Canis lupus familiaris: one gene and its partners. The protein of the gene in region 2 interacts with the protein of the main gene of each other region in a pairwise test. Links are inferred from orthologs where the notes say so. Each region holds a gene or a part of one and is shown on either strand. Other genes may lie near its edges.

Region 1 (9,978 bases), about 39 Mb from region 2:
ACTAAGCTGGCACACAGCCCCCAGACCCGCCGGACCTCTGTCCCCACCGGGCCAAGCTGTCCTGCCTCTGGGCCTTTGTAAGTGCCCCCACTTTGCCCTCAAAGAACTCCCCTCGCTGTGCGCTGGGAGCATTGCTCATTCTCCGAAGGCTGCCTGACACCTCCACCCTCTCTCCACGCCTCCCTTGGACGTTCACGCACTGGGGACTGGACTGCTCACATAACATTGGCCACATTCTGCGCACCGCGACTCACAGTAGTGTGTTTGTGCATATCAGTGATGATACAGAGAAACAGAGAATGAGTCTCCATAACGATGCGGTCGGCTTTTTGAGCCCTGGACCAGGCTTTACACTTCGTGTCTCAGTAACTAGCACAAGCCTGATGCTTAAAAGGTTCTCAGTAAGAGTTTAACAAATGGGGGTGCCTGGGGGGTCAGCGGTTGAGCATCTGCCTTCGGCTCAGGGTGTGATCCCAGGGTCCTGGGATCGAGTCCCACATTGGGCTCCCTGCATGGAGCCTGCTTCTCCCTCTGCCTGTGTCTCTGCCTCTCTCTCTGTGTGTGTCTCTCATGAATAAATAAATAAAATCTTTTTTAAAAATCTTTAAAATTAAAAAAAAAGAGTTTGACAAATGGACAGATGGACGGTTAGATGGTTTTAAATTTGTAGGGACACATACTGTGTCTTGTAACTTTGGTCCTGGGAATCAGGCCATCGTACCACACTCAAGCACACCTGAGCACAGGGACATATGGTTTGTGCCATATACACACACACACACCTTGCACACAGTCCCAAGAAGTGGTACTCACGACAATCTTCCCCCCAGGTCCCTGACTCCGAACGCTGACTCCCAACCACTGGTTCTCCTTACTCTCCTTCTGCACATCAGCTAGAGGCAGGACAGTGGGAATGAGGAGAGGGAAGAGGAGGCCAAGTCCTCTCCTTCCCCTTCCTGTGCCACACGCCCCCAACCCTGCAGGGTCTACACCTCCACGGTCGATGTCCACTCTGTAGCAGTCAGTCTCTTCCAGGCTCAGGGGGCAAGCAAAGAGGCCTCCGGTGCGATTCGCCTGCTGCCCGGGCAGAGCCAGGGCCTGCGGAGCACCCACCAGCAGCCTGCACAGCGGAGCAGGGGCAGGGGTTAGCAGCCGGAGTGCTGTGCCTCCCCAGCACTGCTCAGGCCCAGCCCCTCCCAACCAAGTGAGTGTTGAAGAACTAAGGAGGAGCGCTGGAAGTCCATTTCCCTGAGTCCTGGCAAGGGCAAATTAATACCATGCAATCATCACATTACATAAGCACAGACACACATATGCCCTGGATGAGGGCCCACACGCACTGTAGACACACACACACACACACACACACACACACACGTGTGTGTGCACACATGCCAAACCAAGTGGCCTGGCCAGCACAGCTAGTTTGAAAGAACCGCCTGTTCCCAGCACCTGTTCCTGACCAGGCCTTCCCTACCCACGTCCTGGCCCATCCCCAAGCTCTGCCCTCCTCCCCAAGCCCAGTCCAGTTGGAACCCACCCAGAAATGCCAAGAATGCTGAGAGCAAAAGTAACAGCGTCCCAGGCTGGCACCACGAGGTGGTCCAGGCACCAGCTTCAGAAGCCAAGGAAGAGGCTAGATCCGGGCCTGTTTCCCCTTCGTCAGGGACCCAACGGAGACCCCATCCCCCCAGCAACACTGCCAACCCAGGATTGTCTCAGTCACTCCAGCTGGCATGGAGGTAGGGGCAAGTTTCTCATCTGTCTCCAGTCCTACCCCCATTTTTCTGCCCATACCCTGAATCCCCTTCCCCATTGTTCCTTGTCCTCCCCACATCCATGATTTTCCCCATTCCTCCCACCCTCCCTGCCCCCAACCCTATCCTCTCCCTTACCTCCCCCTCAGACACTTTCCCAGCTAGAACTTTCTTGGCAGGACAATTTTCCATGATCACAGCCAAGGCTTCTTCCCCAGGGGAGGACTATGCTGGGAATGGAGGTTGCCTGGGTCCCCTGGGGCTGAGCCCCAGGCTGGGAGCGAACGAAGGGGTAAGGTGAGGTGACTGGCACCCAGCTGACTACAAGGATCTCTCTCCACAGAAGGAGGGACTCAGAAGTAGACGCAGGGCAAACCTCAAGGCCTCTGTCCCAGTCTTTCCTCCGTCTCCCTTGCTGGGGGACAAGGCCCAAAGTTGTGTCAGACAATATTGCAGACAGGCATCTATGGGGTACTCTGCCAGTTCTGAGGGGGAGGGGAGGGCACAGAGCCACTCTCCCTTCCCACAGCTCTGGTCTCTTAGCAGCTGTCATCCCGCGTCAGAGCCAGTGTCCAGGGAGAGGAGGGGGCGGGGAGTGGCAAGGAAGCGGGCATGGTCGGTTGGCACTCATTACCAGCCTGTGTATTGAGACCCTATCACCTGCCAAGCCCTGTGTCAGGCACTGGTGAGACAAGGAAGTAACATTTATTCGGCACCCACTGTGGGTCAGTCCCTAGGCTAGATGCCAGGGATATGAGGACCTAACGTTTGTCACCCTCTGCCTATGCTCCAGGCATCAAGCTAGGCAACCTACATGCATTCTCTCATTTAAGCTTCCCAACAATCCTATGTGAGGATTCTTCCCGTGTCTTTCAGATGAGGAGACTCACTGAGACACGTTAAGAAGGATGCTGGAATTCAAATCCACATCTGCCCAATTTCAAAACCCATGCATCTTCCACCATATGCAACCAAATGATGAGCCATCTCCAGAATACCGAGACCACTCCAAAACAAAAAACAAAACCAGTAGGAAGGGGACGGGAGGGTATCCCACACAGAAAAGGAAACCTGGTGGCGTGGCCAATCTTGAGACAAGTCCGCAGTACCCCCAACACACACCTCCAAACTCAGAGATGGCCATCTCTTGGAGGACTGAGGCTCCCTTGTTCATCTTTGTGCTTGCCCCGTTGGATGCATGTGGACTCATCTGTAGAACATGCACGTTATGTGGGCTCACAGGCACACCCACTGCCTCGCCTGGTCAGCTCATAGCTAAGCACCAGGAAAAGCTACAATCAGCGCTCAGTGTTCACATCTCCCCTAGAGGTCTAGAGTAGGGAGGAGAGTGGAGGGAAGGGTTCCACAGGGAGGAAAGGAGCTGGCGCATACACATGCCCAGCCTCACTCTCAGTGGGGAACAGACCAGCCTGCCCTCCCTGGAACAGCCTCTCTAGTCCCTCCACCTCTGCCCCAGCCACACACTTTTCTGGCTTCGTCTCACAAACCCCAGCCACCCAGGCCTCTGGACAGAACACGAGCCACAGCTGTAGCCACTGCAGACAAAAGCTAGAGCGTGTCAGCAGCTGGGGGCAGAGGGATTCCCTGAGAGCCTAGCTAAGTGGAAGCAAAGGAGTAGCCCACTACCACTGCACCTCTCAATTCTGCATGCGCTCGAAGGCTCTGACCGAGGCCTGCCCTCCCTGACTCTCAATCTGGGTGGCCCTCTGGGGAGGGTGCTTGGCCTGAAAGCTGACTCAGCCAGGGCGATCTAGCCAAGCCTTTGGATCCAGGCTTGCAGCAAGGTGCTATAGCTATTCTCTAGCTCTTTGGAGCACGACATGATACGGGAATAACAGTGCTAACACTTCCAGAGCACTCCCTCTGGGCCTTACGCTATTCTAATGGTTTTATATATACTAAGAATTCTTAAACTCCACAACCACTCTATCTGGGAGTCCTACTGTTTAACGCCATTTTACAGTTGGAAGATACAAATGAGGCTGAAACCACAGAGCAAAGAAGGTTTGACATCAAAGTCTCATCCAAGAGCAAGACTGAAAGACATCAAAATGGGTGAGGCTTTTCAATGGGTGGATGCTGGTGAAGGTGACCTGCAACTCAAAAGCTAGGGACTGAGCAAGGAACCTGGTGTCTCACATGCCACCAGGCAGCACAGCACCCCTTGCTGGAGCAAAAGCAGGCTTAGGCAGTCAGGCTCCTCTGGGAAAGCCCCCAGCTTGGCTTTGGGAGACCTATTCGGGGGCCACCTTCAGAGAGGAGGGGGAAATAACAAGAGACCAAGCTATTAAAAATAACCTAGAATTTGCCTGGAAATAGCTCAGAGAGTTCAGCATGTCCTAAAAAGGCCTCCAGTCCTGGAACTCTGGCAGATGGGGGAAGAAGGGAGGGAGGGAGGCAGAGATGGGGTAGGAAGCAGATAGAAGACTGAAGAAGAAATGAAGTCAGTTGCTTTTTATCTCTCCCAAAGTTTGGGGGAACCACTGACCATGCTCCCTGATGACAGGGGTAATGGAAGAAGAAAAATTGAGACCCAGCCTCTCCTCCCGGAACGGAACGGGAGGGAAGAGAAATGAGCTCCTGTCCCTAGCCTCTGCCCTCAGGCCAATAGTGCCGGGGAGGAGACAATCCCAGTGGACGGCATTGATCCCAGTAATGGACACTTAGTGTGGCTTAGGCCCTAGCCTAGGAAAGCAAAGCCCCCTGGCAGGAGGGGGTGGGAAGCTTTCTTCCCCTTGTCTCTCTTCATAAAATCATACGTGTAGCAGGAACCAATAGCACAGGAAACATGACAGACACAGGCCCCACACACATGTGCCCATCTCCCATGCGTCTGAACTGATCAGAAAATAACTAGGATGGTTCTCTGCCCCTCACTCCTCCCTGCTTTCCCCCACTGCTGAGATTCCTAGACCTGGCAATTTCCTGAGGAGGAGGAAGGGGAACAAGCTGGCCCAGCATCTGTCCTGGATCTCGCTCTCACTCCTGCTGCTGCTGCTGCTACAACTTTTGGGGGCTCTGTTTCCTGCCACTTTATCATCAAATCATCTACTACAGGTTGCCATAGTCTCCCAGGTCCTCTTCCAACCTTCCCATGCTCTTGAGTCACAGAACTAAATGGCAGGGCTCTCCTGGCCTCCAGTGTCCTCCTGTCTTCCCTCTATGCCATGGCGATGTTCTGATGGAGGTTATTTCTGGGGTCCACCCTCCATCCCTCCCATGGTGTCTTCAACGTCTTTCTCCTTTCCCTCTCCTCCTGCCCGAAGCGGAGACAAGAAGTCCAGTCCCCCTTCCTGACAGTATCCAGTCCTCTGAAGGAGGGGAAGTCACAGACCCCCGGGGCTGGAGCACGGATGCAAGTTTGGGGGAAAGGCAAAAGGAGAGAGTTCCCCGTCAAGAAAGGAACCTCGCTCTCCAACTCACCCCCAAAGCAAGCCCCTGATCTCAGGCCCTGAGGGCGCGCCTCCGGACCCGCGACCGAGGAGGCAAGGTTGAAGTGCGGGTTATCTACGGACAGCCTGAGTCGACGTGGGGTTGAAAAACGGAGAGATGGGGAAGGGGAGGGATGTGTGGCTCGGCACGGGGACCCTGGGCGGGTGCTGTGACTCACCAGCTCTGGGGTCGGGGCTGCAGCTGCCGGTGCAGAGCCACCGAGAAGCCGAAGAGGCTCCCCGGCTCGCCCTCCTTGCTCAGGGCGCCCGTCACGTCCAGATTGAAGGCGACAGCCCCCGGGGCGAGCAGCGCGGCCAGCAGGGAGCCAAGAAGGCATCGGATCCCGGGCGGCCCCCAGGGACCACGGCCCCGAGCCCCCGCCATGCGGCGAACGCTGGGCGCGCTCCCCACGAGCGCAAAACACTCGCTGGTGCCGGAGCCCCAGGTCTCCCACGGCGGCTCTCCGATCTCGAGTCCCGCAGGTCTGAAGGGGCCTCGCAGTCCCTCTCCTCGCCACCCCCCTCCCGCCGCCAGGCCGCCCGGCGCCCCCAACACCCGCTAGGCGACTGCGGCAGCCGCAGCCCAGGCGTGCGTTCCGGCTCCCGCCTCCCCGCCCCCGGCCCCGGGAGCCCCGCCCCGGCCCCGCCCCCGCGCGGCAGGTGGAGACTTCGCGGCGTCGCAAAGGGGTGTCCAGGCTGGCGACCCTGGGCGGGAACCGGCCTCGCTCGCCCGCCCGCCTCCCCCCGCCACCCCCCCACCCCCGGCTTCGGCCCCGCCCCCGCCCCCGCCCCCGCCCCCGCCCGCGCGCTCCTGCCCTTCCCCCTACTCCGTCCCAAGCCCGGGAGTGGTGAGGGCGGCGCCCGAGAACGGGGACAGAGAGGACAAGTCCAGATAGAAAAAGACCGAAAAAGAGAAAGGAGGGTGAGAAACGAGAAGTGCGGGAGGCTGAAGGACAGGCTGGGGGGAGAGGCCGACCGCGAGATGAAAGGGGAGGGTCCTGTGTGGTCCTGGCGCTCCCTTCTCTCCAGGGTCGCGTAGGGCGCCCGGCGCGCTGCTCCAATCAAACGGTCCCATCCCACCCAGAGACCGGCAGCGACAACGGCTGTGCTAGCCACATCCCCAGCATTCAGGCGAACCGAGGAAAAGACAGAAACAAGAGGAGAGAGAAATTCAGCAGGTCTGGGGCGGAGAGCAAAGAAGGCGGGTAGAAACAAAGAGAAAAGAGAGAAAGAAGAGCGAGAGTTTGATCAATGAGGAATTGAGGGGGCGCCTGGCTGCCTCATCCGAAGAGCCAGCGATTCTTGACCTCGGGATGGCGAGTTCCAGTCCCACCTTGGGCGCAGAACTTGCCTAAATAAATAAATAAAAGGAATGGAACGAAGGGAGAAAAGAAAAATGACTGAAGTGATGGATACAGGAAGAGGAAATCAATTAAGCTGGGGAAAGGGAGTGAGGGGTCCAAGAAGAGCAAGGGCAAAGATGAAAAAGATTGGACCCAGAGGCAGAGACATGGAAAGGTTGTCTTCGGCTCTCAGGCCCCTTCCCTGAACTGACCGTTTCCCACCCTCGGACGGGGAGGGAATGGAGAAGGCAGTGCACCCCAGTCGGCACCAGGCGGGATCTGGGTGGGGCTTTGCAAGGATCTCCACCGGGACCAGCAGACCTGCCCCTCTTCCTCTCCCTTCCCGTCAGGCTGAGACAGAAGCAGAGGGAGGGGGGACATTTTCCAACCCTCTGCTATTTATAACTCCAATCCAGAAATGGGGCCCGGAGGAGAGATAGGAAATAATTTGGCACAACTGGAACCTCTCTTGCTCTCACCTCCCCTTCTCCCTGGGCGTTGGTCTTGTGTATATCCACCTGTCCTCTTTCCTCTCCCTCTCTATCTGGTTTTGTCTCCTCCCAAACTCTAATTTTGTCCCCCTTCTTGTCTCTATCACCTGGAACCCTTCTCCGATGATTTCTCAATGTCTCTAATGTCTCTGTCCCTACAACTCTCTCTCTCCTATCCTTAAGGTTTCATCTTCTCATGGGGCACCTCTGGCTCAGTCGGTAGAGCATGCGACTCTTCATCTCAGGGTTCTAAGATTGAGCCCCGTGCTAGGTGGAGAGATTACTTAAAAATGAAATCTTTAAAATATACTTTTTTTCTCTCCTCCCTCCCTTTCTTAAAAGCTCCAGTGCACTCTACCTAATTTCTCTTCCCATGCCCCTTTTGTCTCTCTTACTTCTTTGTCCAAGATTACCCTTTTTTTAATTTAAATTCAATTAGCCAACATGTAGAACATTCTTAGTTGCGGATGTAGAGTTCAGTGATTCATCAGTTGCACATAACACCCAGTGCTCATCACATCATGTGCCCTCCTTAATTCCCGTCACCCAGTCACCCCCTGCCCCCACTCACCTCCCCCAAGATTATACTTTTAAAAACACACAAAAAGGTAGGCTTTCTCTCTGCAGGCCCTGGGACAACCCTTGCCTGGGCAAGTTACTAAGCATTTAAAGATTTGGGCCCCTGTTTTTGCAACCTACACTATAGGCATCCCCTCTAGGGGACTAGCATGCCTCTAAATAGGTGCTATCAAGGAAACACATGCGCTGCCAACAAGCAGGCACCAGGATCCTTTCTTATCCCCAGATCTGCCCTCTCCATCCCTTTTCTATCGCAGAGCTCCAGACTGTAGAGCTGATATGAGAATGCAGAGTAATAAGATCAGGATAGAACCCAGGACTCCTGACTCTGAACAGAGATCTCCAACCAGGGTCAAATGCCTTTAGAGGCCCAGGTGCCTTCCTCTCTGCACCTGCAGCTTCTGCCTCCCTTCATCGCCACCCTGCTGGCTCCTGCTAAATCCAAGGCTGAAATCAGATGCCAAGAATCTGCTTCTGACCTCCTCTGCCCAAATATTTGAGAAGTCATCTCACCCACCACAGGAGGAAGGAGTGGGGAGAGAGAGAGAGAGAGAGAGAGAGGCTCACAAAATTAGCCTGGCTATAAATAGTGGGGCAAAGGAGGGCGAAGGGGGGAGTGCAAGAGTCCTAGCCCAGCCTAGTAAATTTAGACATGTCAATTTTCCCTAAAGGAGGAATGAGACCAGATTGTTGGAGTGGGGCACAATGTTGTAGAAGAAGGGGGGCCACGGAATGAAGAAGCTAGAGGATCTGGAGAATGAAGGAAACTCAATGTTTGAATAAGCAACCTGCCAGAGAACTTCTTGTATTTGAGTTAAGAGTTTGAAAATTCATGAAATTAAAACCAATTAAAACTATAGAGATGACAAACAGATTAGTGATTGTCAGGGGACAGGGATGGGAGGAGGTGAATATAAAAAGATAGCACGTTACACCGTGCTAACATAACATGGTGTGTTAATTATACTTCAAAAAATAAATAAACAGGGGGGCCTGGGTGGCTCAGTAGGTTAAGCATCTGCCCTCAGCTAAGGTCATGATCCTGGGGTCCTGGGATCCAGCCACATACTGGGCTCCCTGCTCAGCGGGGAGTCTGCTTCTCCCTCTCCCTCTCCCTATGCTTTTCTCCCAGCTTGTGCTCTCTAATAAATAAATAAAATCTTTAACAAATAAAATACATACATACATACCCAAAAAAAGAAAGCTCCTTTGTGGTGATGAAGAGATGTGTATCTTGATTTTGGTGGTAGGTTTTCAAGTCTATACACTTGCAAAAGGGATAAAATCGCATAGAGCTACACACACATACACATACTTACACACGTGAATGCACGTAAACACTGATGAAAACTGAATAAGGCCTGTAAGCTAGTTAAAAGTGTGTGTATGTCAGCTTCCTGTTTTGAGATTGTGCTACAGTTATGGAAGATGTCACCAGTGAGGGAAGCTGGGTGAAGGGTACATAGGGCTTCATGTATTATTTTTTGCAACTTCCTCTGAGTCTATAGCTATTTCAAAATAATTTAAAAAACTGATTAACATTCAAGTCCAGCAAAGGCTTCGGGCCTATCTGATTGGAAGCTGAGGCTTTCTCTAGCCCTTTCCCCCTCTAACAGCTTTCTTTGCCTCCATCTGTGTTCCCTGTTTTTCAGCTTCCCCGGATTACACATTTTCCAGCTTCTGCCTCTAGCTTACAAGCAAACACTTCCAGAACACACTGCAGGGTTAACTTCTCCCTCCACCTCATCTGGCAGCAGAGCTGTGGAGCATATGTCCCAGGGTCAGCCTCTTCCTCCCCAAAACACACAACATGAGGACTTTCTCACCCCACCCACCCCTCCAGCACTGGAATCCTTTTGCCTGCCTCTGAATTCTGGCTGTAGCCAAAGCTTGAACTCTGGGAGTGGCTGGGAGAGAAAAAATATAAATCTGATTGAGAGCAGACGCTGGGGAAATGACTTGACTGCTCTCATCTTTGAGGATCCAAGGGAAACCCATGCATTTTGTGGAGAAGGACTGGGAGGTCACTTCCCACAGGGAGCCATTTAGACTGTCTTGAGGGCCCCTTTTCTTTGAGCACTGGCTTCAGGCCAACATTTGGAACTTGGCCACACCACCAACAGCACCCCCCCCCCTCTTGAAACCCAGCCAGACTTCCCAGTGTGAGAAGCCTTCTCCACTCTCTCCATGTTCTCCTTCAGTCCTCACCCAACCCTTATTGACTCAGCAGCTTCCGGCCCTAATGTTTGGCCCAGGGCTTATTAACTAAAGCTAACTCAGAAAGAAACTCAAAAGAATAAGGAAATGGGGAGGAGGGGTGAGGTGGGGAACGTGGAGTTGCATTCATTCATTCTAA
Region 2 (9,951 bases):
CTCAATGGTGGAGACTTTTCCAGCAATCTCTGATCAGATTCCTGGCAGCCCTGGCCCCATCCTGCCTGGGTTCGGCTTCCCCATCTGCTGGTTCTGAGCACTTCGCTTCTCAGCACCTGGCTGTCCTTATCTATAAGCCAGGAAACCAGGAGCACTCCTTAAAGAGCTGCTACATGGATCACAAGAGCATGTGCATGTGTATGCACGTGTGCACACACGAGTAGTATTCACTACAGTGCTGGCCCAGGCAAGTGCTCAGACATCAGCTACCGTGACCTCTCTGGCCCAGAGTTTCATTCAAAGAAGAAATTCCATTTAATTCCAAATGGAATTAAAATTCCATTCTAAATTTGGAATTGAAATTAGTCCCAATTCAGATTCTTTACAGAGGTTTGTTTTTCCTTTTTTTTTTTTTTTTTTTTTTTTTTACTTTGGAGAGCCAGGACACCTCTTCATTTCCTCTTACAAAATGTGGGCTTATAGGAATGTTCAAAGAGAACAAAGAGCAGCATTGTCCCTAGAGTATTACTGCTACCCCTCCCTGCCCGATGCATACACATTTAGCTCATCTCGTACCCGTAGGACACACCTTCAGTCTGCGGTTGAATCCCATTTGCTCCCATCCCTGTATCGTTCACATTCTTCCCCACCTGTCTGTGCTTTCATAATTCCTTACTTCCTTTCAGCTCCATACCTTTGTCGGTGTAAACTTTACCCATCCATGTCTTTCCTACAGGAATATCGCCCACCATTCCTACAGGATGCATGCGTGCCATTCAAACACACTATTCATTGCATATGGCCTGAAGATTGCTTTTTTTATTATTCTAATGCCAACCAGAAGGTCCTTGAAGCCAGGCCAGTTTGAACTTGGTTGAACCTTCTGCAGGGGATAACACTGTTCTAAGTCAGTTTCCTTACCTGAAAATAATAATAATAATAATAATAATAAATAATAATAATGCCTGTAGGGTGGCTGGGAATGTTATATGAACTAATACTAGTTCCCAGACAAAGTGCTCAGTCAATAAATTATAGCAATTGTTTTTTGAAAAGCTGACCCTAGTGGCTGTTTATTTATAGTTTTTGTAATAAGCAGCAGTAATTAAAGTGCTTTATTTTTGCATGGATTTTGCAATTTAAAAAAAAAATCCCATGGTTAGTATCCGTGTAGGAATTTAGCAAGCTATTTAAAATGTAGAGAAAATATAAAATTACAAATAATCTTACAAGAAACAATAACTTTGTATATTTTAGTATATTTTTTCAGGATGTATATTACACAGTTAAGAGCATATATTATACATATAGGTTTGTGTTTAAAAATTAAAAATTCTTTGCAAATTTTATTTTCAATTATTGTATATATTTAATACAATGGCTGTATCACAATTTTTTTAACCAAATTGTATTCGAGCAGTTGCACTAATCATTTTAATGGATACATATATGTTGTCATATAGCCCTGTCTGCTTTCATACTATCCACTTTGTTTTACTACAAGGGATATGAATTAGAAGTAGAATAATCAACATCATGGATTTTTCTTTTTTTGTGTTCATGCTAAACCATAGACTGACATCTTGAAATTAGTCTGAGACCAGGCAGAAAGTGCTCTGGTGCCTCTTGCTTCACATTAAAATAATCAGTTCCTCCTGCCTCTTCATACACCCCTACCCCCCTTCCTGCTGATTAGACGGGTCCCAGGCAGGGAAAGAAGGCTCACTTCCTAAAGACCAAAACGAAATTCTCACTTTCCCCTTAAAATCTAATTATACGTGCCTTCTTAGTGAAACCCGTGGAGTGTATTTTATGAGTCTTTGGCTTGGTATGGTTTGCTTTCAGTGTAACTTTTCAGTATTTCCTTTTTACTGTAAAAGTATTCTGTTAAAATGAATTTTTATTCCTCTTCTCTCTATCCAAAATTTATCTTTTAAATTCAACAAAGCCCCAAACTATAAAAATGTACTCAAAGTTAAAATTGATCTTTGCAAGCTTACACTTAAGATAATTAATGATATTTATGAAATACATCTGTCAAATATCAAATTGCTCAGAACTTATGTTAGTTCCTTTCTATTTTTCATCCTTATTTGGTATATTGGAGACTAAATGATAAAAGGCTGATGAATCAGTGATAATGAGGAAGAAATCAGCCAAATAAACTTTTAGGGGTCATGTAGATCAAGGCACAAGATGGTTGTGTATTTTTACTATTCAGTGGGTTGCATTAGTAGTGTAGAAATTAGCATATTGCTCATTAGCTCCTGCAGGGAGCCTGCTTCTCCCTCTGCCTGTGTCTCTGCCTCTCTGTCTCTCATGAATAAATAAATAAAATCTTAAAAAACCCAACTAGTTATATCCTGATAAAATTGCTTATCTAAAGCTTAATTTATGTTTTTTTTTTAAGTTTCCATCATTCTAATTCCCCATCATTATAAGTATTTGAATATTCTGGCTAAATGAAAGAAATCACAATGTCATATAAAGATAACTAATTTCAAAGAAATAAAGTTTGAATGCTTGGTGAAAGGACATTGATCATAAATTTAACAAAAAGCAGATTACCAAATGACCTGATGATATATTTTTTTCTTAATTAGAAGTTATAGTTCTCCATATAATTTATTGTTTTCAGATGCATCCTAAAATACATCAATGTGGAGTGGTATATAGTGAGAATTTCCCCCCCCCACCTTTTTTTTTTTTTATTTTATTTATTCATGAGAGACACAGAGAGAGAGGCAGGGATACAGGCAGAGGTAGAAGCAGGCTCCATGCAAGGAGCCCAATGTGGGACTTGGGATTCTGGGATCACACCATGAGCCAAAGGCAGACGCTCAACCACTGAGCCACCCAGGCGTTCTTTCCTTCCCTCTCTTGTAAAGCTAGTGTTAAATTAGTGGCTCATCTCAAAATCAAAGACTTCTTAGAATCAAGAAATAGGATAAACAATAAATGTAGTAAGACCACACATAATTTTTCATTTTCTTCTCTCTGCTGGTCTGTATTTTCTGGCATATATTTGTACAGTAAGATACAATGAAAGAAAATATAAACACTATGAATATAATTTCACCTCTTTCTTTGGTGGTGTTAAAAACAGGACAACAGGCCCCAAATGGAGTCACTTATATTAAGCTCCACGTCACCAAACACACCTAACCTAAGTACAATTTTGGCCTCTTCCAGTAATGGAATTTTAAAGCAGTCAGAACTCACCTGATGAGCATTAGTTAGGTCATCTGCCTGATAGAGCCCTGTCATCCTCTAAAGGAAAGTAATGTTGGAATAAACAGTCCACTTTTTTTGTCCCATGTACCTTCCTAGTTCCTGTTCCCTTCTGTCTGTAAAGGTCTTCAGTTTTGTACACACTGCACAGCCCTTTTCTGTCTGCTGGGTGGGATACTGCCCAATTGATGAATCATTGAGTAAAACCAATAAGATCTTTATAATTTATTTGGTTGAAAAAAATTTTTTTTGACGGTGGGGAGAGGACAATTTAAACTCAGTTTCTTGGCCATCTATTTTAAATCTGAAGTATTTTAGACACCAGTAGACTATGTAGGTCCCTGTGTTAAGAGCTATCAGATTACAGAGAGAAATATGACGTGGCCTAGCCTCAGGATCTGGAACCAATGGAGAACTCCAGAAGCACTAAGTGGGATGAAGAAATCTAATAGTGCAAAATGCATTCAAAAACAGGCAAGATTGAGTGAGCAGTCAGGGAATATTTTAGGGGAAACTATGCAACTCTTCATGAAGGTTATACATTGAAGCATTTTCTTAATATCAGAAAAGGCCTCGAAAATGTAATTGTGTGAGTTGAGTAGCTGGCTACTGCTTTAAAGACAAAAACTCTCCTAAGATTGGATGGATCTCAAAATGTAATAGGTTTGATTACAGCACATCATGTTATAAACCTAGCAATAAAACAAAATTCAAATAGCATTCCTCAAGAAACAAATAAATAAAATAAAACCAGAACAAACCTATATAGAGCAAGTCCATGATAAAATAACATCAGCCAATAACGCAAGTGTTAATACTATCTTTTGACCTCAGAATTATTTTTAAAAAATGGCCTGGTAATATCTCTTTTTATTGGATTAGACCTGATAAGGTGCCTTGCATGGAGTATGACTAGAGGATGTTAACATGTATGACACCTATTATCAGAATATGCCATCTTATCAGTGTTAACATTATTACACAATTGGCCCAAGCATTACTCAATACTGTGCATTTGCTCACATCCTGCTCTAGAAATTAGTAAATTAGTAAAATGTGAATGCATTTCCTTTAAGCACACAACAGCTATCTGTACTTTGGAACCGTCAGCCGTAACAAGTCATCTTGTATAAACATACTTTCCCAGCCTAATCAGACTCCTCAGTAATTTGCCTCCTCACCCCAGGCCATCCGGAAATTCTGTCAAGGAGAAAAAGCTCCAGGGCACTGTGGTTTCCCCCCTCCCAATGTTTATTTTATACTTTTTTTTTTTTTCTTTTTTCTTTTACAAAAAGCTTCCTGGTGTTCAAAACTCCGTGTAGTTCCTGTTTCCCCGTCTGAGAGGGTAAGATGAACGGAGGGTTCCCTCCGTGTTCTTTCTACTCCCGGAGGCACCTGCCGTGGGTTTGGAGCAGCGGCCAGGGCCAGGTTCTGTTCCTTCCCCACAGCCCCGCAGCCCCGGGCAGGAGCTGGCTGCAGGCGGGGGCCCGCTGCCAGGCCACTGGGGCTGGGTTTGGGGTCTGCAGGTGCACAGTGCCAGAGAGCTCCCTCCCGGGGCAGGAGGCCGCACAGCTGGCAGCGAAGCCTGGGAGGACACAGGGCACAGGGAAGGAAGGGGCCCCGGGGAGGAGGAAGCTTACCTGTCCTGTCGTCTGCCCTCGGCGAGCCCAGGGGCCAGTGGGGAGGCAGGGCCCACGCTCGTGGGCTGCTCCTGCAACTGTGTGTGCAGCTGCTGGCCAGCTGCCGCCTCGTGTCAGCAGGGCTATAAATAAGGTGCTGTCCAGAGCCCAGAGATAAGAACCCAGCCCCTCGCTCCCGCGAGCCTTTTAAGGTATCCAAATTAAAGGAGCCTCGGCCCCCAGATGGGAAGGGGTGCCAGCTCCCCATTTGGCCTGCCCACCTCAAGGACACCCTGGGCCTTGCACACAGTCCAGCAACCCAAGGAGGAGTGAGAGGGGAAAGCCGAGCGCTGGGAGGGATCTCGCTTGGTCAGACAAGTGGTGGAGTCCCTGGGGGGCTGCAGGGGCTCGGATGCTGGGAGACCCCCCCACCCCGAGATCAGGGCCGGCGCTGTGGTACAGAAGGGGGAGGAAAGTCATCCAGGCCACACAGTGCCCTGGGGTGTGCTGTGGGTTGTCAGCGCTGCCTCTTGCTAGGAGCACACGGACCCTCTTCCCTGGCTTCAGGGGTATTGGTTTGGGTGAAAAAGATTCTAGGGGAGATTCTAAGGGATCGGCTTCATGCTGGGCACGTGGGAGGCCGGGAATGCAGTCTCCTTATAAAGGCCCTCTCTCCCCATTCCCACCCCCCACTCATGCATGATTGGGGGGATTCTTGGGCCACAAATCATTTTCTTTATAGAGCTAATGCAGAAATCTTATGGAGCTTTTTTATTTTTATTTTTTAAGATTTTATTTATTTATTCATGAGAGACACAGAAAGAGAGGCAGAGACACAAGCAGAGGGAGAAGCAGGCTCCCTGCAGGGAGCCCAATGTGGGACTCAGTCTGGGATCCCAGGATCATGCCCTGAGCCAAAGGCACCCAACCACTGAGCCACCCAGGGCTTTTAAAAAAACCATATGCTAGAAGAGGTCAGAGAGGACTAATCTGGGGTAGCAATAATTCCTGATTCACCCCTAAATTTCTTAATTCTGGGAGGCTTTTCAGCCATGGCTGGGGTCAGGTGAAGGACAACTGAGGTCAGCTGTTTGGCAGCAGCTGTCTGCCATATGACAGACATTCCACATCTGGGAATTTATCCTAAGGAAAGGATCGTGGATGTCAGCAGAGATACAGCTCCAGGGACATTTCTTGCAGGTTTTTTAATAATTGGGGAAAGTTGGAAACAACCAAAATGACTAACAACCGAGACTGGTAAAATGAGGAATAGTATAGCCATGAAGGAAACACTGCAACCTTTGGAAATGTCATAGAAGAATATTTAATAACATAGAAACAATATGATGACATGTTGGTAGTGAAAATGCAGGTCACTTTAAGGGAAACTTGGTGTATGTGTGAGAAGTTACTATTGCACATATGCTGAAAGGATAGGCATCCAATGAGGGAATGTGCTTATGGCAGGGTGATGAGATTATGGCTGATGTTTTTTCCTTGGCTTATATGACATCTCTAAAATGTACACAATGATCTTTTATTGCTTTTATAATAAAAACATTGATTTCACTTAAAACTTAAGTTTCTGGGGGCGCCTGGGTGACTCTGATTGAGCATCTGTCTTTGGCTCAGGTCATGATCCCAGGCTCCTGGGATAGAGCCCACATCGGGCTCCTGCAGGGACCCTACTTCTCCCTCTGCCTGTGTCTCTACTTCTCTCTCTCTGTGTGTCTCTCATGAATAAATAAATTTTTAAAATCTTTTAAAAAAATAATAAATAAATAAAACTTAAGTTTCTGAAAATCAGAAGAGAGTTTTCTGTATTTCTGCATTAATGGTCCCAAATTTGTTTTAGGATCACAGAATTCCTTGGGGTCTCTTCACTTTAGAAAGACCTATGTTGGAGTCAGCAGCCTTTTTTTTTTCATGCCAATACCAGCAATATGACGTAGAATGCTAATAGAGTCCCTGAATGCCCCTGTCAAGGCAAAGGTAAGTCAGGAAGAGAGAAAAAAAAAATGCATAGAGAGAAAGAGGAGTCCAAAACTAAGAAAATTTATGTACTAGAGGCAACAGAAAATGCCTATACACTCAGATCGCCTTTATCTAACCTAACATATCCTAATTTATACTCTGGCCAGGACATAACAAAGGCTCTATGTGTATTTAAAGAATATGTATGTCCTGAAGATGCCTTCCTTTTTGATTATATTTGACTTGGGCAATGACCTCCACCCCTGACCGTGTGATAGGGAAGCACCCACCACTGAGATGTGTAATTGGAAGAGGGGCTCCCCTCCCACTGGACTCCCAGGGTTACAGGTACAGAAAGACCCTAATGCTCTAATGGCTTCTCTTCCACGTGTAAACAGTAGAGGGGGGTCCCCTCCATGAATAGGACCTGGTGGATAGCCCGCAGTGGGGTAATCTCAAAGCTTTTGTGTTGAGTTGCTGTTCCAGGAATAGGCTCTGTATCACACACCACCCAGGGACAGAGCCTGGAGTCTGAGGCTGAGCAATGCTCTGGACTCTTCTTTGGATCTTTAGGTGCCAAAGCTTTTCTTGGATGGTCTCCCTAAAGCCTCATCTGTGTTAGCTCTAACCAGATCTCAGCTGGCATGTGTCCTGCAGACATCTGGTGAGAAGGGTAGCTTCACCTCGGGTCAGCCCCTGTATGGGGCACAGGTTCCCTACACAGGGGAAGAGGCCAGTGCAGGAAGGGCTGGAGGGGCTTCCTCTTGGAGAAAGCCGCGCCTGGGGCAAGGCACGGGAGTCAAGGCTGGTGTATGGGCTCAGCAGCCCAGGGGCTCTCCCTTGAACTCCAGTGAGAGCTGTTGGAAGCATCCCCTGTGCTGTTCTCCCTCCTCCGCGCTGACTCACTACCCCCCCTTCAGAGGGGTACGCTGCAGGCACACAGCCTTGGGGTGGGTGGGACATGACGCACCATGCCTGCTGACAGTCACCCCCGGAGCAGGCATGTGTGGGAGGGAACAGCATCTGCTTTGGTGGCTGTGACCCACAATCCGGGCTGTGGTCAGGACTAGATGTGACATGCCGTATGGGATGTGGATGTGGCACTGGCTTCTCTTCCACAATATCACAGAGAAAAGGCTGACAAGTTTTCTTGAACCTGTTTCCCAAGGGACATGTAGGTCTGGAACAGACATTTCAATTCAATTCAGCAAATAGGCATTGAGTTGACCCCAGAACCCAGAAACTGGTAGGCACAGGATAGCAAGAAGACGGAGACCCCCAGATAACCTGTGAGCTCTAGGAGCTTGTCCCTGGCCACCAGCCTTGTTGAGGGCACCCCACCAGTGCCGGCATCTCAGCTCCCAGGCCCATCACAAGGCTTTTGCCCACGGGGTCATGAAATCTCATTCATCCATCAGTATTATTCATTTAAAAAAAATTCGCTGAGGTTCTTTCATGTTGCAAACACCATGGCTAGATCCTGGAGCCTCAGCTCTGAACAAAATAGAAGAACCTCACATCGAGGAGCTGACAGTCTGTGTGTTGTACTCACAACATTGTGCGAGCCTAAGCCCCTGACCTTGAATCTGGAGCATCTTGCCCTCCCTGTCACTGTAGATGCCATTTACTATTGCTGCCTCACAGTCATCACTGTCACCAGTGCTTCTTGCTTTGCATTGGACAAGCTTAATCTCTCTGTGAAGCTGATTCTGCTACTCTTGGCACCTACCACCCTCCCTGGGATGGGAAGGCACAGGGAGTCTCTGCACCTGCCCCTAGCCTGAGGGAGCTAGTCTCTTTCACCCCACACAGATTTTTTCCCCTGTTGGATTAGTAGATTCTGTGACAGAGGAAGATGAGCTACTCAGGGAGCCAGAGAAGGAAGAGTAGATCAGGAGTAGATCAGCTCTGAGTGCTGAGGCCAGAAATCTGGAGAGAACAGTTTCCAGAAGGAAGATAGAACAGAATCAACTCTTGTAGGCTGGGAAGAGCAAGGGGGAAGCGGAGCCTGTTTTTCTGTACTGAGAAGTCCTCAGACGCAGAGGCAGCGTGTGTCCGGGTGCACCAGACGGTGCTTTATGACATGTGCTGCCTCCGCAGTGTTTATCCACAGAAGCTGAGACGACGAGCCTGATACTTGCTTCCGTGTCCTTGTTTTCAAATGAATACCTTTTGTGATCTAACTACTCCATTTGCTATCACAGAAATCTCTACATAAACATTCCCTCTGCACTTCCCCGAGTCATAAACAGGCAAGAAGGGCTGAAGAAATGTCCCATAGTGTAAATATGTCTGCAAACAGCTCTGGAAAGTTTCAACCTGTAAAATAGCATCACCATTTGTTGGTGTGATAGACTCCAGGCCTGTCTTCTTTTTTGAACTTGACTTACACTGAATGAGTTTGGGTGTTGAAAGAAACCAAGTTATCCAGTCAGGAAGCTAACTCCGTAATGACCGGGGTCTCAGGGTCCTGTTAGCTAGCACATGTGCAAGAAGAAAGCACGTGGGGGCCCTAGAACCAGCCTGAGTTTTCCTCAGCTAAGATCCCCTGGATCCAACACATCACTCTGCTTCAAGACACATGACAAAAATACACAAAAAATGCAGCATAACAGTATGCCAGCAGGTTGGCATTGCCCCTGCCTTTCAGTTTCTTTCTCTCCCTCAAATTCCTATCAGATCTGCTCTTGGAATCTTTATTCCATGGTTCACATTGTTAGTAACAGCTTGGTGACTCTGCCTAAAGTAACTTGTGCTCCATAGGAATCAACATTTTCGATCGAAGGGACAAAACTTTAACCAGTGACATGTCGAGCCTTCCTTCGAAGTAGATGGAAGGAGAATTTGGGTACCTCCCTAGCCCCTGCATCCACACAAGAAGCCACTCCCAGATGTGTTCCATCTGTTGCTGCAGATAATGGGCTATAATCTGGTCAGCAAGCCTATAATTCTAGAACCATTTACAAGTACCATGTGGTGGAACCATTGGAAAAACCTTACCCTCCTTGTCCCACCCCCAGAGGGGTAATGCCAAGGGACATCTTCTGTTGGTCCTCTCACCCTTTGCTCCGTGCCCAGGTGGCTGATGTGGACAAGCATCAAAGGGTTTCTTTGTTCTATGGCTTTT
Region 3 (8,924 bases), on a different chromosome or scaffold from region 2:
CCCACATTCCTGAGAACAGTCTCAGCAGGAACCATTAAACTCACCTGGCATCACCTATTCTACTCACCAGGGGTGCATCACACCGTAGCACAGAAAAATAACTAATTGGTTCCCACAGCACTTTCCAATCCTCCTCCCCTTCGGTCCTCCCAGCTGAGGTAAGTGGCTATCATTTTCCTCCCCATTCTACAGAAGACACAACTGAGGCCGAGTGAGGGGAAGTAGTCCATACAGGAATTTGGAGGCTGGTCTTGACTCTGAATTCCCTGGGGTTTCCTTGTATCACATGAGTCTCAAGCAGCACTTTGAGGTCTAGCCTCGCTGAGGGGAGAAGGAGCCGTTCTTTTTTTTTTTTTCCTTTATTTTTTTTTTTAGAAGTCCGTTCTTATGTGAATGGCTAGAAAGTGCTCAGCACACAGTTACAGGTACTTTGAGAGCAAACAGTTACCTATTAGGAAATGCAGCATCTGGGGGTCTTCTGAGACCACAGCAGGCCACTGTAATGCTAATGAGGGCTAGGGAACAGCGTGGACAGGGAGCCAAGTTAGGGGAGGTCAGGGTTCTGCCCCCCCCCCCACAGCTGACATCCCAAGTAACCTTGGGCAAGTTTCTGAGGTTTCCTTGATTCCAACTTTACAACATAAGTGGGGAAAAAATAGATAGGTAGATAAATAGATAGAAACTCAGTTTAGGCAAAAAGACATCTGCAGTTCTCATCATCATTACTTTGGCTTTGAAAACGACAGCTCAGAGACCCCCCACCACTTTTTAAAATTTTAAAGACAAAACAGTATCACTTAATGGTTCTGCCAACACTTCAAAAAATCAGAGAACACAACACTGAATTTTTTTTTTCTCTTCGTCTTCTTCTTCTTCTTTTTTTTTTCTTTCAATTTTGGCAAAGGAAGATTCAGTTCCTGGAAATGCTTACAAAATGATTCCTGACACTGGGAGGAGATAGTTTAAAAAGGAAGAAGGAGATGGCAAAGAAAAACTACATACATATAGAGATCAAGGAAGAAGGTGGAAGGAAAGAAAAAAAAAAAAACAAAAGGAAGAAAAGAAAGAACCAAAAGAGGGAGGGAAAAAAGACTTTGAAGGGCCCCAATTCAAGGAACGTTATCAAGTTCCCAGCATCTGCAATTCACCAGCCGCTCTCGGGTCGGGGAGGCGCAGACCCCGCCCCTTTCTCGGGTGTCGGGCGCCCATTGGTGGGGGCGGCAGTCGCCGACCGGTGACTGCCCGAGGAAAGGTTGCCTGGGACACGCATCCCTGTGTGAACGCATGACGTCCCACCCTGGCGCCAGGCTGTCTGGGGCTGAGTCTTAGATCAACACAGCTGTGGGACCGGGACCCACAGCTGGGCAAAGGAGCGGATTCCTCAACAAAAAATAGGATTGTGAGAAAAGTTCTGAAACAAAAACAGCGCAGACAAAAGCCTTAATGACATCCTTTCATAAAAATAAAAAATGCAAGAGGGGGGAAAAAGCTGGTAAAAGGAGCAGAACTGGGAACAGAAAGTTCAGAGGCATTTGGAATAAGAGGCTGAGGCCCCGCCACCACTAAACTAGTTGCAGAAGGCCCGAGCTAGCCCCTCCAGTCTGCTGTTGGAAAAAGAAGTCTCTAGGGTTCAAACTTTATTCAGTGTCCCCAACCGTCCCCTGCTTCTTTCAGAATTAGACTCTTAGGTTGGAGAGGACCCCTAGAGGTCTTTTGCACCCCTCTCCCTCCCCCTCCCCGCCCGGTCCCCCAGTTTTGCAGAAAATTCTGCCCAGGAAGGAAGGAAACTCGTCCAAGGCCACATTGCAAGTTATTGGCATGGCCAAGAGAGAATCTGCTTGCTAATCCCACTGCATCCTTCTACTGCCTTGTGTCACACAGCCCATGGGCATTTCAGCCTGAAAGCATCTTGGGAAATAGTAAATGTGAAGATGCTTTGCAAACAGGTACGCGAGCCTGAGGCATCAGTGGTAGCAACAGAGGAGGGGAAAAGGCAAGAAGAGAACCTGTAGGGACCTGTGGACTGAACACCTAACACACACCTGGCCCCATGCTGTGTCCCCAGGCACTAAGGAGACTACCAGATCTGGTGGAAAGAGCATATGTCAAGTGCCTTGCAGAGCAGAGGCATGCAGTAATTATTTGTTGAATAAATGAGCTAGATCTAATTAGCCTTCGTTTTTATAAATTGGGAACTTGAGGCATGGAGAGTTGACTTAGTTCAACATCATTAGTAAAAGAGAAGAACCGGGATTTGAACATAAATCTGCCTGGCTCCAAAGGCCATGATTTTTCCAGAACACCCTCCCCCCCAACCCAGGCTTGACCATTTTGCACAAACCACGGAAGTCTGCGTGATAGAAAAGGAAAGGGTTTTCTATTTGGTCACTCAGGAGTCTGCGGAGCCACCATTTTCCTTTCCCATGACCAAATAGCTGGCATTCTCTTCTTCTGACGTCTGTAGCATTTATAGACTGACTTGTGCACTTACAGGTTATTTTCTTCTTCCTCATGCTAAAAAGTATAAGAAACTTGGAAACATTAACATTCTAGGGAGAAATCTTTAGAAGACCCCTTTCTTGGGACACAGAACCTTGTGTGGTATGATGGCAAACAACGGGACTTCAGGGCTGAGTCTACCATTAGCTGTGGTGTGACACTGGACATGTTTTTATAGCCCCTCTCTGAGCCCTTTACTACCCCACACCTGCCTGTCCAAATTTCATAAAGCCTTAGATTTCTAGTATTGGGAAGGATTTAAAATAATCACTTAGCACCATCTCCCCATATTAGTCACAAGGCAACAAAGGCCAGGGTAAATGGGCTTGTTCAAGATCGCATGGCTATGTGGATTTCCAGTCCAGCGTCCTCTCTACCATTATTATTTTGAGATTCTCCTAGCTCTGAGCTCCCATTGTCCTTTTAATTAGTGCCACATACTATAGAAATCTTAATTGTTTCCTGTGTTAATCTTGTCTCCCCAAATTGTGAGATTCTTGAGAGCAGGAGCCACTGTTCTGTGTAAGATGACTCCATAAATATTTACCAACTGATTGATTTAGGAAGCAACCATTGGGGGAATCCCACCTGGTCAGTTCCAAGATGAAAACCAGCATTTTGAGGCTGCAAATTCCCAAAAGTTCTGGGAAGTGACAAGAAGACAAGAATACTGAGTGCAATGTCCTGTTGCAATACAGGGCTTAGCTTCCCTGTTCTCTGATCCCTTTCCTGGGCTCTCAGATAGAGCTGGAGCTATTTCAGTGAGGCTAAGAATAATCAAGTCCAGGTGGCCCTACCCTTCCATAGCAGAAAGGGACAGACAATAGAGTGATGAAATTACCAAACTATTGTTTTCTGCATAGAGGTGTGTGGAAAGTGTGGGGTGTGGGGGGATGGCAAAGCAAGAGTTAAGAGATTGACCCCCCCCCACGGGGGACCCCTTGAAAGATTGATACAGAAATCATCTTGTCTGTCGCCCCATATTTAAAACTCGGTCTAAGATTTTAATCGAACTCACTTCCAAAACACAACTGGCAAATATTTGGCTCCTTATGGAGCGCATGGGGCCAGAGGGTGGGAGCTCCTTTCTCTCCCCATGCAAAAATCACGGATTCGGCCTGCTTTCTTCTTCTTCTTCTTTTTTTTTTTTTTCCTTTTCCCCTGTTGCTCAAATAGTGTTCTTTGCTCAAACCCCCTTCCCCTCCTCCTTCTGCAATCTCAGCCCTAGCCCAAATCTGTTTTCTTCATTGTAAACTCAGCTTCACCGCAATTAATTTTTTTTCCCCTCTGGTCACAAGATAATTCCTGACGCCAGTGAGTCTGGAGGTCAGACGAACAGCAAATTGGGGAACAAGGCGGCACTAATTCCTTACAAGTTTCCCTTGAAAAATCCTTTGCTTTAAAAAAAAAAAAAAGCTTCTTTGCTGTTCAGGGATTTATGACCTCAGAGGAGCTGTGGGTTCGAACTAGTGTTGGGCTGTGGGTGGACTGGCAGGGGGCAGGGGAGCTCAAAGATCTGGGGCGCTGCCAGGAAAAGGCAAATTCTTAAAGTTAATGGTTTTAAGTGATTTTTTAAAATCCTCGCTGGCAAAGAGGCCTGCCTCTCCCCAGTATCAGCGCTTCCTCATTCTTTGAATCCGCGGCTCCGCGGTATTCGGCGTCAGACCAGCCGGAGGAAGCCTGTTTGCAATTTAACCGGGTTGTGAACGCCCAGGGCTGGCGGGGGCGGGGCCGAGGCGCGCGTTTTGCATAAAGGGGCGTGGCCCCGACCGGGCTCTATAAGTGGGGCCGCGGCCGGCGTGCGCGCGTTGCCAGCTGCTGTCGGGGCTCCCTGGCTCTCCTGCTCCTCTCGGCACCTCCGGCCTCACTCTGCAATATGAAGGCGCTGAGCCCGGTGCGCGGCTGCTACGAGGCGGTGTGCTGCCTGTCCGAACGCAGCCTGGCCATCGCGCGCGGGCGCGGCAAGGGCCCGGCGGCCGAGGAGCCGCTGAGCCTGTTGGACGACATGAACCACTGCTACTCGCGCTTGCGGGAACTCGTACCCGGAGTCCCGCGAGGCACTCAGCTTAGCCAGGTGGAAATCCTGCAGCGCGTCATCGACTACATCCTCGACCTGCAGGTGGTCCTGGCCGAGCCCGCCCCTGGACCCCCCGACGGCCCGCATCTTCCCATCCAGGTGCGTGGGGGCGTGCGCGGGAGGTGGGGCGGGCTCGAGCTCCGGAGCCGGGATGCTGCTTGGACTCCTGAAACTCCCAAACGCCGGGCATCACTTTACCCTCTTTCTCCTCGTCTCAGACAGCCGAGCTCGCTCCGGAACTCGTGATCTCCAACGACAAGAGGAGCTTCTGCCACTGACCTGGCAGCCCTGGCGCCTCCAGGTGAGTCTCCCCGCCGTCGCCCAGGGGGTGGGGGTGGGGCGGTGCTTAAAGCGACAGATCTTGGAACTGGTTGGCCTTTTAAGCGATTATTGCCATCTCAGTTTGGGGAAAACGGGGCGAGGGAGGGGCGAGAGTGGCTTAACCCTCGGTTCCATCAAATGAATGACAGAACCAATTCCCATCCAATGTGCGTTTCCACCTTCCGCGCGCTTTGCCCCTGCCCTCCCCCAGTGACCAAAGACAGGGGGAAAAGTAGGCGCAGGTAAATAAAAGAGCCGTTCTGTCCGTAGTTGGGAGTGTAGGCTTCTCCCAACTAGTGTCAATTCCAAGAGGGCGGGGTGGTTGCAAGCTCCGCCTGTGGTCCTTTGGCGCCAACTGGGTGGGGGCAGCTTAGGGCTCGGAGTTATCAGCTGGAGGTAGAGACCAAGTTTCCTCCCTGGCGCCGGGCAGTCTGCGGACGGCCCCCGCCTCGGCGCGCTCGGCGGAAACTGATGGCTCCCTGGTCTTCTTTCCTCCCCCGCCCAGAACGCAGGTGCTGGCGCCCGTTCCGCCTGGGACCCCGGGACCCTCTACGGCCGGAAGCCCGAGGGCATGGATGGGCCCCAACCTCGCCCTGCCCACTTGACTTCCCCAAACCCCCGCCTCGAGGCTGGACCTGGCGCCCGGGAGCGGAGGACTGTGAACTTGGGTGGCCTAAAGAGCCAGAGCTAGCTCTGGGCACCAGCTGGGCAACATCTCCCAGCCCCCACCCCACCCCCAAGTTTTAAAGACTGTCTTTCACAGTGTGGAGTTGGGGGGGGGAGTGGCTGCTCTCCAAAGTCTGCCAAGGCAGCAGTAGAGCTGGTCTTCTGGTCTCCTTGGAGAAAGGCTCTGTTGCCCTGATTATGAACTCTATAATAGAGTATATAGCTTTTGTACCTTTTTTGCAGGAAGGTGACTTTCTGTAACCATGCAATGTATATTATTAAACTTTTTATAAAAGTTAACATTTTGCATAATAAACGGTTTTTAAACACTTGAGTATATGAGTATGTAATTTGTTTCCTTAAATGCTAATGCTCTCATAAGGCTGAATGTAGGGGAAATATAGATGTCCTTCTTGGACCTTGGGAAAAGCAAACTTGCTTATTAAAGGGAGATGGAAAAATGTCAACTAAGACTGGGGGCGGGGGCAGTGGAAAGAGCTCCTGCTTGGGAGCCTCATATCCATTAAGGGTGGGTGCAGAGAAGATCCTGGCCCTGTCCCCTCATTTTGTGGATGAGGGGAAGTGACTAGCACAATCTCACCCGGCAATTTGGGGGCTCGGGATAGAAATTGGGTCTCCTGAGTCCCAGTTTCTTAGGTCCCTTAGCCGTTTTGCTACATTACCCGATGGCTGTCCTCTTCAATGTCGTTAATTATTCATGTCTTTCTAGCAGGGGATGTGGAAGAGTGGCGTCTCACCTGGTGCCCAGACAGGGGTGGTGGTTGATAGACCCATTTCAGAGATGAATAAGCAGATCAGGGCCTGGTTTCATTTCCCTCCTCATGCTCTCTGGTTTGGCTTCCTCTTGGGCTTCCAAATTTGGAAAAAGAAAAAACGGGAGATGGGTTTTTCTCATCCCTCAAATCCCCAGCCACTCTGATCAGAATGATTTGGATGCTGTTTGGGGAGCACTAGTGTACCAATCCCTCTTCTACCACCAGGTAATTGGAAGACTGAGCCTAAAGTGGGAATTTGAAGCAGCAGCCCCACACCCCTCATTCCTTCTGATATTTCCTTCCTATAGCACCTCCATTGGGAGTCTACTCTGTGAACATCTTTATTTCAGAAATGGAGAAACTGAGGCTCAGTGGATAATGGGTCTGGGCCAGCTTCTTACAACCCCTTGAGAGAAAGATGGGATTTTAACCCAATGACAGTGACTACAAATGTAGTGGAGAGCCTAAGACTGGTCATCCCACGGTGCCAGGTCCAAGAGTGGGGCAGAGGGCAAGACCCCCAAACCACACCATCCCTCCTTGCCCCCCACCAGGCAGCTCCCCAGGTGGGCTCCACCAGGCTCCTGGCCTCACCAGATTCCTGTTTATGATATGAGCTCATCTGTGTTGGCCCCTGGCATGAGTTACTTCAATATTTCATAACAAACAGGTCATGTCATCACCCTTCATGCTTTAACCCTGGTGAGCTTTCAGGGGTGAACAGGGGCATGTGGTGGGGAGGCAATCTGTCTTTGCCAATCAGCTGACCAGCGATTCCTAACCTGTTTTCCTGGCTTCCTCTGATGTTCTAGTGGAAGGTATGCGCACTCCAGAAAATATATACACATACCTTTGCAGAGTGTTAGCAGACCTCTAATCCCCTAGGAAGTCCTCAGCCCCCATGTGAATAACTCCTGCCTCAAAACCAACCTGCCTCCCAACCTGGGTCTACCTTGGTTTGTTTTGTTAGGTGTGCTGTGCTGGCTCTGGTGGCAGCCATGCAAGGGTGCAAATTCTTGCTTTATCACATCCTAGCTGTACAATGCAGGCTAGAGACTGCCTCCCTTGACCCTTGGTTTCCACATCTATGTAAGATTGCTGATCCTGAGCCATCTACTCTGAGGCACCTGGCCCTACACGAGACCATTAATTGCAGGAGAGCCAGGCACTGAACTCTTCATCCACCCTTACTGCCACAGCATGCTGCTTCCTGCTCACTCAGAAGCTGTGGGACTGGGGACGGCTAGAAAAGAGCCAAATGGCTCATCTGCCATGTGACCTTGAGCAAGCCACTTTACCTCTCCAAGCCTCTCTCCTTCCTTTGCCCGACAGCTGGCAGTTCTCTTACAGCCTTCTCCCTGGACAGAAGATAATGGTGGGAAAGGTCTTTGAAATGCATCACACACCTACAAGGTATTATTAAGCTAATTCCAAGGAAATTGCCTGTCAGGTCTGCTGAGACTGAGCTCTTCAGGTGGCTGGGACAAAAGCTGAAACCAGGATGCCAATTCATTAGTCATTAGAGAGTGAAAGCAATTTGGCCGCGGGTCGGAAAACTCTCAGAATGAGGATAGTGTCGTCTGTCATAATCACCTACCGGGTGCCTGCCAGGTGTCAGGCTCTGTTTTATCTTAATTTTTTTCTAATCCTCACCACAACTCAGCAAAGCTGGTATCTTTATTCCCATTTTACGTAAGAAACTGATTCAGAGAGGCTGAATAACTCGATGCAGGTCACACCGCAAAGAAGTGGCACAGCAGGAATGAGTAAACCCAACTCCACGTAGCTTCAAAACCTATTCTCGTGTCTACTCCAGGACAGCTCTCCTCCCTGGCCATTCCCTGCACCTGGTACCTGTGCAGTCCCCAGTGGGTGCTTGCTGAATGAAAGACCCAGGGCCATCGCGGGGTCCCTCTCCCTCATTTGTGATTGGGGTGATTGATGGTACTTCTGTTGCAGGTTTGTGACGCGGATTAGAGGTAACGCGCGCAAAGGAAGCATCTACCAGGTTCCCCGAAACACAAGATTCACTATTAACTGTCTTGCTTCGTGATCGCGTCGACTCTGAAATAGGCACCTTTGGAAGAGATTTTTTACTTTGTAAATAAAACAGGACAGGCAGGCTCAGAACGGAGGAAGGAACTTGCCCGTGGCCACACGGCTCCTAAGCAACAAAGCAGGGATTCAGATCCATGCCCGTGACACCGGGGACGGTGCCCTTGAGAGGAGGCCGGTTACAGGCGTCCCCAGCTGGGGATGCGCCCAACAACCTTCCATTGTGCGCGTTCCCGGCCTCGTCTCCGCTCCCGGCCAGCGCTCGCCTGCGTCGCCCCGGGCTCCGCGCTCGGGCCTGCGGGCGCTCGCTCCTGCCCGCCCCGCGGCCGCCCCGCGCCCTCCGCCGGCGCCTCTCGCCGCAGCTCCTGCGGCCGCCGCTCGCAGCCCGGGCGGGGGCGGAGCCTGGGCCCCCACGTGGCCCGAGCCCGGCGGGGCGGAGGCGCGCCCGCCCCGCCCCCCGCCCGGCGACCCGCGCTGCCCCCCCGCGGGCCCTGGGGGCCGCTCGCAGGTGTTCGCTGGCGCCCGGATGT

Evidence for each region. The genes of interacting proteins can lie anywhere in the genome.
Region 1: the proteins of FHL2 (region 2) and ITGA7 interact in a two-hybrid assay, tested with the Homo sapiens proteins (2 studies listed by BioGRID and IntAct). The link is inferred for Canis lupus familiaris from reciprocal best matches to the Homo sapiens genes FHL2 and ITGA7.
Region 3: the proteins of FHL2 (region 2) and ID3 interact in binary tests that used the Homo sapiens proteins (3 or more experiments, as listed by UniProt). The link is inferred for Canis lupus familiaris from reciprocal best matches to the Homo sapiens genes FHL2 and ID3.

What each region holds. Positions count from the first base shown.
Region 1 is NC_049231.1:457,010-466,987, forward strand, and holds the start of ITGA7 (integrin alpha-7), read right to left. Parts: upstream 5,784-9,978; 5' UTR 5,595-5,783; coding exon 5,389-5,594; intron 1,121-5,388; coding exon 993-1,120; intron 894-992; coding exon 814-893; intron 1-813. UniProt on the Homo sapiens protein: Integrin alpha-7/beta-1 is the primary laminin receptor on skeletal myoblasts and adult myofibers.
Region 2 is NC_049231.1:39,045,838-39,055,788, reverse strand, and holds the start of FHL2 (four and a half LIM domains protein 2), read right to left. Parts: upstream 5,013-9,951; 5' UTR 4,872-5,012; intron 4,577-4,871; exon of another isoform or gene 3,482-4,576; intron 1-3,481. UniProt on the Homo sapiens protein: May function as a molecular transmitter linking various signaling pathways to transcriptional regulation. Negatively regulates the transcriptional repressor E4F1 and may function in cell growth.
Region 3 is NC_049223.1:75,270,653-75,279,576, forward strand, and holds ID3 (DNA-binding protein inhibitor ID-3), read left to right. Parts: upstream 1-4,312; 5' UTR 4,313-4,375; coding exon 4,376-4,675; intron 4,676-4,794; coding exon 4,795-4,854; 3' UTR 4,855-4,877; intron 4,878-5,402; 3' UTR 5,403-5,441; downstream 5,442-8,924. UniProt on the Homo sapiens protein: Transcriptional regulator (lacking a basic DNA binding domain) which negatively regulates the basic helix-loop-helix (bHLH) transcription factors by forming heterodimers and inhibiting their DNA binding and transcriptional activity.